Linked DNA regions of Xenopus tropicalis. The protein of the gene in region 1 interacts with the protein of each later gene in a biochemical or structural test. Links are inferred from orthologs where the notes say so. Each region holds a gene or a part of one and is shown in the gene's direction. Other genes may lie near its edges.

What was found. The genes of interacting proteins can lie anywhere in the genome.
Region 2: the proteins of fbxw7 (region 1) and klf5 form a complex in vitro, tested with the Homo sapiens proteins (2 studies listed by BioGRID, with this or other methods). The link is inferred for Xenopus tropicalis from reciprocal best matches to the Homo sapiens genes FBXW7 and KLF5.

What each region holds. Positions count from the first base shown.
Region 1 is NC_030677.2:55,551,834-55,555,483, forward strand, and holds the end of fbxw7 (F-box/WD repeat-containing protein 7), read left to right. Parts: intron 1-1,163; coding exon 1,164-1,432; 3' UTR 1,433-3,064; downstream 3,065-3,650. UniProt on the Homo sapiens protein: Substrate recognition component of a SCF (SKP1-CUL1-F-box protein) E3 ubiquitin-protein ligase complex which mediates the ubiquitination and subsequent proteasomal degradation of target proteins.
Region 2 is NC_030678.2:127,158,589-127,162,837, reverse strand, and holds the start of klf5 (Krueppel-like factor 5), read left to right. Parts: upstream 1-1,326; 5' UTR 1,327-1,503; coding exon 1,504-1,680; intron 1,681-4,130; coding exon 4,131-4,249. UniProt on the Homo sapiens protein: Transcription factor that binds to GC box promoter elements. Activates the transcription of these genes.

The sequences.
Region 1 (3,650 bases):
GTGGAACAATGAGTTCTCTAAATCTTGCATGTTCCCTGCTGCACACAATTCTGTCACACTGTTAAGCATTCCAAATGACTCCAGATCCAAACGTTCCAACACATTATCTCTATATCTGTAAGAAAAAATATATATTATTTAGGCAAGTGACTTGTTAAGCATCCACTACAGTTTGGTTCATATTTGTAACAATTATAGTTCCCTATAGCTTAGTACAGGTCCTTTGCCTTTATCCTTATAGCACACATAATAGTACATTCTAAGTGGAATTTCTATACTTAAAAATCAGGTTTAAAAGAGAGAAATGAACTATAGTGGCTCGTAATTTAATTACATGTGGAATTGTATAATTGATCATTTGTAAATAATATTAAAATCATGTGACAGCAGAATAATTAGGGAAATATTTTTTTTTTTTTTTTTGGAGAATGCCTTTCTGGGAAACCAGAATCCCATTGTCCTGTCTTCCTCTTTCAGTCTATTTTTAGAGAGGGAAATATTGCCATTTTGCCTTACTTGATTTATCTGACTCGACACATTCAGCTGCCTCGCAGCCCAATTAAGTAGTCAGTCTTTTAAAATGCAAATAACCCATGGATAAACACAAGGAAGGGTTGTCTAACCATTTCCTTTGCATTTTTATGGTCTGCTAGGCTGCCATCATTACGATAATTTTATACCACAGAAAGATGTGTAAATTCATTGTCTTGGAATGAAGCGGTTTTAACATATTTAATGCCTCAGATATTAGACAAAATACAAGTAATTTACTTAATTGAATGCTTTCAATCATGAACTATGCTTTGAATAGCCCTGTTTTTTATATCATTTTGAGCCATTTTAAAATTGTATAGATTTCTCTTTGTCTGCATGTGTATATACAGTACATCGAAGGGAACATGTCTGCATTTAGTAAAAAAGAAACACATTTGGATACGTGTGTGTGTGTGTATAAACACACAACCATATATATATGTGTGTGTCAATATTTAGGTCAGAACTTATGTATCCAAGGTAAGGCTTGCCTGGGTGCAGTGCATAATTGTATACAAATGAACACCAGAAATCTCTACTCAGAGGACTTCACAAATCCAAAAAGTGATTTATTTAATTATTTGATTGTTTTTATGTTTCACTAAATAATCTGATAATTCTCTCTCTAGGTCCCAACAAACATCAAAGTGCTGTGACTTGTTTACAGTTCAACAAGAATTTTGTAATCACCAGCTCTGACGATGGGACTGTAAAATTGTGGGACTTGAAAACGGGTGAATTTATTCGGAATCTGGTCACGTTGGAAAGTGGCGGAAGCGGAGGTGTTGTATGGAGAATCCGAGCCTCCAACACAAAACTTGTCTGCGCTGTGGGAAGCAGAAATGGGACAGAGGAAACAAAACTGCTGGTGCTGGACTTTGATGTGGACATGAAGTGAAGGCTGGGGAGACAAAGTTGTCCATATTTTTAGACTGCTTATCCTCCTTTTTTCTGCCACCCCTTTCCTCCCCAGTTCTTCCCCTCCAAAAACATCAGTTGGCCTTGGTGAAACAGGATTCGGGCTTGGGGCAACAGATCACAAAGACCTACAGATCGTGGATGTGAAGGCATGATATCTTGTCACGAAAAAAATAGACTTCCTTGCAGGGTTCCTTTTTCTTTTGCAAAAAGGAGGAAGTAAATTAAAACCGGGTGAAATTATTTTTTGATTTCTCTCAAACTGATCTTACGGCAGCACCGGCGGTTGTTTTGGTGGACTGTCATTAATGCCAGAAAAACCTATGTCACAAAGCTACAGATATTCACAAAACACAAACAAATGCTGGTTGACTTTAAAAGAGAGCATTTGAAACAAAGTCATTTTCTGGTTTTAGAAATGCTGAAAAAAAATAACTGTGAATTGTTTTTGTACAGTTTTATCAATTTTTGCCGACTTTTGCCAATGTCAATCAATCACAGTATTAGCCTCTGTTATTTTACTGTTGCTTCCATCTACACTCTTCAATGCATATGTTGCCCTGGGCTGGCAAGCTAGTCCTCACGTTCTCAGATGGATGGAAATCTCGATGCTGGTGCTAGCAGTAGGTCTTTACAAATGGGATTGTTGTCCCACAGCTGTACTGTATTCCCAGTGGCCAAACATATTTATGCTGCTAACTGAAAGGAGAAAAAAAAAGCAAAATTTCTTTTTTTTTTTTATTATTATTATTTTACTGCTGTGACGTTTTAGTCCCAGACTGAATTCCAAATTCGTTCTAGTTTGGATATGGAAATAGATTTTTTTTTCTTTTTGCCACTGAAATTTGAACCCTCAGTGCCTCTAAGAGGCCGTAACTGGGACAATTTCAGACAATTAAGAGTGAAGTTTGCCTGCAAATTAAAAAAAAAAAACAAAAACAAAAAAACAAAACTTTTGAGAGTGTGCAAAGCTTTTTTTTTTATTTTATATATATTTTTTTTTTTTTTTAGCAAAAATGTAAAAAACATTCCTTAGAACAAAGCTGTTATAGCCTGTTCTGTTGGGATATTTTTTTATTTTTTGGAGGGCTGTGGTGAATGTAATTTCCGTAACACAACTGACAAGATGTTTAAGAAAAAAAAGTACAAAACACGAAATATCTGAAACCAATGTTGCTGGATAGCCTTGATAATGACAGTATTTGGGTGGAAAAACAACTGTTACAGTTTTCTATAAAGGCAATGCACAGGCCAAAAGGCTTTTGCTGCGCAAGCTTCACGTGCAAATAAACAATACCATACAATTGTCCGATAATTTGCCTCATTTTCCAAGAGTCACAACTCATGCTGAACTGTGAAAGTGGTTTAACACTGTATCTAGGCAATCTTTTTTTTTTTTTTTTCCTTTTTTTTTTCCTCCTCATCCTGTATTTTTATTATTTATAGTCTGGTTTTAAAACAATCAGATTCCATTTGGTTCATTTACAGTTCTGTAACAACCTGACATAATGGAGGAAACAATGTTTAAAGGGATTGTGTCTATGGTTTGATTCACTTAGAAATTTTATTTTCTTATAACTTAAGTGCAATAAAATGTGTTTTTTCATGTTAATAAGCGTTTGCGTTTCAATGGTGCCATTCTAGCCATGAGCTTATATATTTCTATTATGTTTGTTCTCCTGTATGCCAGATACTGCATTTGCAATATGGCGTCCTTAAATGAATAGTACTACAGGTGTCGGACCCCTTATCTGGAAATCCATTATGAATTACGGAAAGGCCATCTCCCATAGACTCCATTATAAGCAATTAATTCTAATTTTTAAAAATGATTTCCTTTTTCTCTGTAATAATAAAACAGTACCTTGTACTTGATCCCAACTAAGATATAATTAATCCTTATTGGAGGCAAAACAATCCTTTTGGCTTTATTCAATATTTAAAGATCCCTTATCCAGAATACCCCAGGTCCCGAGCATTCTGGATAACAGGTCCCATACCTGAACTGCAAATTATACAGTAGAAATGTTATTGTTTTCTAAAAAATATTTATACATTTTCAAAAAAATTGGGACAGGGTAATAAAAGACTGGAAAATCTGTGTAAATCTAAAAAGATTGGATCCCAGAGAGGCTGGGTCTCTCCGATATAAAGATGGGGAGGGGCACCCCGCTCTGAAACACAGTGCAGGGAAATAT
Region 2 (4,249 bases), on another chromosome or scaffold:
ATATATCCAATTCATTGCTCAAACCAGATGTTTTATTGTGACACAGCCCTTGTTATGTAACCCCACACCAAGGCTTTGAAGCAATTGTCTGTTCAGTAACAAATAAGATACACTATGTAAAACAACTGACACTTGATTAAGAAATAGGGATAATTTAGATGTCCAAAGTAAAGTACAGGTATGGGATCCCTTTACCGGAAACCCCTTATCCAGAAAGTTCCGAATTACGAAAGGCCATCTCCCATAGACTCCATTATAAGAAAATAATTCAAATTTTTTATAATGGTTTCCTTTTTCTCTGTAATAATAAAACAGAACATTGTACTTGATCCCAACTAAGATATAATTAATCCTTACTGGAGGCAAAACAGCCCTATTGGGGTTATTCAGTATTTAAATTATTTTTAGCAGACTTAAGTTATGGAGACCCAAATTACGGGAAGATCCCTTATCTGGAAAATCCCAGGTCCCATTTTTGGGACCTGGGGCATTCTGGATAATAGGTCCCATACCTGTACAACATACTAACTAAAGAGCCCTCTAACTCTTAGCATTTTTTCCCAGCCTTTATCTTTTAGGAGACCCTGTGAGATGTACCTAGAGAACAATATTTTTCAATTATTGATTGATCAACAGGTAGCATTTACTGGTCAGCTGTTTGAAAGCAAACAACTGATTGGTTGCTATGAGTTAAGGTCCCCATACACCTTCAGAACCCATAGCAACCAGCTATTTGATGCCCACTAAATGCTACATGCTGATTAGTTGCTAGGTGAGGGAAAACACTGCAACTGTTACTATATTACCCCATGTGAGAATTTAAAACTATGCAACCGCCACAAATAAGCTTACTAGACCCAAACCAATGTACCATGGGTAGGAGATGATGGCTGTCAGTCCATACAGACAATGGTGGGAGGTGGGTTATTGTGGAAGCTGCAAGCAGTTTGACACCAGCCCCATGGATCTCCACCTTAGTCCCTGGCACCAGCCATGGAATTACCAACAGTGATACATAAGCTAACTTTAATTCAGAGAGTTATAGTCACATAACATTTCGTGCCCACCTTGCCTAATACAATGCCCTATGCTTTCCCTTTAATGCACCATCTGGGGCTAATAACGTACAGTGCATCAGGGTAACTCGCTCCCGGGCGAGCAAGCCATTCCCAGAGAAACTTTTCGCCCTCACGCTGCGCCTGAGTTGCAGGCGGCTTCTAATAGCTAGGCCCCGCCCACAGTCACCCACGCTCGGCTTCTATTGGCTGGATCTTGTTTGGGACGGCCCCTAGCGACCTGCCCCGGAATAAAGCGGGATCCACCCTGCAACAGGTAGAGTGTTGTGCGTGTGGATAGGGCAGTGCCGTGCCACACGGAGCGAACAGTGTAAAGCTTGGCTAGTTCTACATAGTGAGCCTCAGCTCCGCGGCTTCTTCTAAAGTTCCACACCGAGTCTCCGGAGTGTGCCCCTTGTGTGTGTGCCAGAGCGCCGCCCCGCTGTACATGGCTGCCACTGTGCTGACCATGAGTGCCAGGCTACAGCGCTTGGACGAGCCGGTCTTTACCCAACTGAAGCCAGTTCTGGGCCAGCAGCATGTCCGAGGGGAGCCCATTACGGGAGGGACACTGTTTGCAGAAGAAATGAAGAGCTCCCGAATGATGCCCGATGACATGGTGCAGGTGAGGCGCTGCTGGGATGGGCACTGTGGGTGCGGAGGGGGCATGTTGTGTTCACTGGAAGCAATTGCCATGGCATGCAGGGGCCACAGGGTGAGCCAGCTGGGGCCAGGTAGCTGCTTGCCCAGGCGGAGTGCGCTAGAGAGACGCAGGTTGCGCTAGAGAGATACACAGGTTGCGCTAGAGAGATACACACAGGCTGCGCTAGAGAGACACACAGGCTGCGCTAGAGAGAGACACATAGGCTGCGCTAGAGAGAGACACAGGCTGCGCTAGAGAGACACACAGGCTGCGCTAGAGAGACACACAGGTTGCGCTAGAGAGATACACACAGGCTGCGCTAGAGAGACACACAGGCTGCGCTAGAGAGAGACACAGGCTGCGCTAGAGAGAGACACAGGCTGCGCTAGAGAGAGACACAGGCTGCGCTAGAGAGACACACAGGCTGCGCTAGAGAGAGACTAAGGCTGCGTTAGAGACACACAGGCTCTTTGCTTTAGAGTGCCGGTTCCACAGCAGGTTCGGGCGTATAGTCCTTAGTCAGGGGGTGTTTTCTTAGGGCCCCGAAAATCATCAGTTGTAGGTAGGAAGCCCATAGTAGCCACGACCGATATTGCAGGGAGTTCTAGTGAATTAGTTGGGAGAGCCCTATACCACAACTTTTATTTGCCACTGGATATGCTGTGTTAACTGGTATATAAGTGGCAGACCAAGTGCCAACTTACAAAGTATGCACCTGTGCCTTTAATCTAAGGGAGAGCCCAGCCTGGTGTGTGCAGCTTGCTATACACTGGGTATAACATCACTTGGCTGCAGGTCCAGACAGATGATCAGCAATGCTGGGTGGTCTGCTGTAACTTGCCCCAACCTGGAATATATACCAACCTGGTCATGCAGTATGGTCAGATCCAAATCTAATCAGGTTTAGTCAACAAAACTGTGTCAGGTTTTATATTGTTTACGTGTAAGTTTTCCAAATGTATACAAAAAATAATAATACAAGGGAGTACACATAAATATACAATATTGCAAACAGTTTTATTTACCAAAGGAAACAACTAGTAACATACATGGGTATTGCTCTTTTCTACTACACCCTGGGTTCCTGCATCAGTTATACAGAAATTTTCTGTAACATACTGTGTTGCAATGAAAGGTAGCGAGGGGGATTAATAATGGCGGATGGTGATGCTGTTCATGTATGAGGTGGTATGTCGGGATGTACATGGTGATGCCCACTATAGTAGTACTGGTACAGCCACCCCCACACACACTCATACAGGGAATAGATCCGAAGCAAACAACAGCTGGTTGAGCTATAATCAGAAGGGGCCTAACCACAAGTTGATCTGGACAATTCCATACTTTGTAGTCATAGTAATCAAGGATGTTTAATCTGCTTTCCTCCAGCGGTTTTTAAAATACAAGTTCAAGCATCCCTTTGGGTGTGGTACTAAAACAGCAGCTGGAGGGCTGCAGTTTTATTATCACAGGAGAACTTATTGCTGTTGTATCTGGTTTTTACACTATGGTCCCTGTTAAGTCTGTTTTTCTCTTCTCATTGAATGCATTGTGCTCCTTTCTCTGCTGAACTACTACTCCCAAAATGCTATCAACGGGGTGGGTTGCAGCTGTGCAGCCATTGCAGAGGTGCAGGTTGGTCAGTGTCAGGTACTGCCTTTGTGTTGCGCCAAAGTGTGTAAGTGATGTTGGTAATAAAGAACTACAAATACTTTCCTGTACAGTATGTTAGCTGCAGGTGCTGAGTCTATAAGAGAGCAATAACAGTCAGATTGGCTTTTGTGGGTATGTATATACTTAGCAAGTGACCCCCCCTGGTTTCTGAAACTGATGTGAGTTATTACACTAGTTTTCCATTTGTCAGCTGATTCATTTTGGAGAAGGCTGATGGGTTAAGGAATGACTGGAGTTTTTACAGTGCAAGGGGGAATGTAGCATTTGTCTATTGAGCAGCACACGATAAATGCTTTGCTGATGACTGTAAATGTAACCTATCATCCTGCAGCCACCCACGGCCTCCACTGCACCTCATCTAAGCAGATATGAATGTAAGTGCTGCAGTGTCTCTTTAACTGTACCAGCCGCTGTTTGTTTCAGTTTAGGAAGTCCAGAGACTTGGCTTTTCTATATTATGTTGAGACACCATGGAGAATATTATCTAACATTTTCTAGCTGCTTTGGAATGTTCTGTGTGTATCAGTATGTGGGAGAAAGGGATCAAGCTGGCCTCAGCTCTAGTGCTGGGAATCTGCTTGGCGCAATGAATTTTGAAGGGAAACATAATTTTTAGCGTTCTGTTATTTCTGTAACATTGTTTTGGTTATATATATATCTTTTGTTTTGCCTCTAACAGAAGGTTAGCATCCACAGGCAGTACAAAATGGTATATAGGAAGGGTTTAATATGTAACCTTTTTTTCTTTTATTTTTCAGACTAGATGCGAAATGGATAAATATCTTTCACCTCATCATCATCATCATCATCATCATCAACCTCCTCCCCCACCTCCTCAAGTTAACATCATGCAAGATTTAAAAAAGTACAGGCGAGA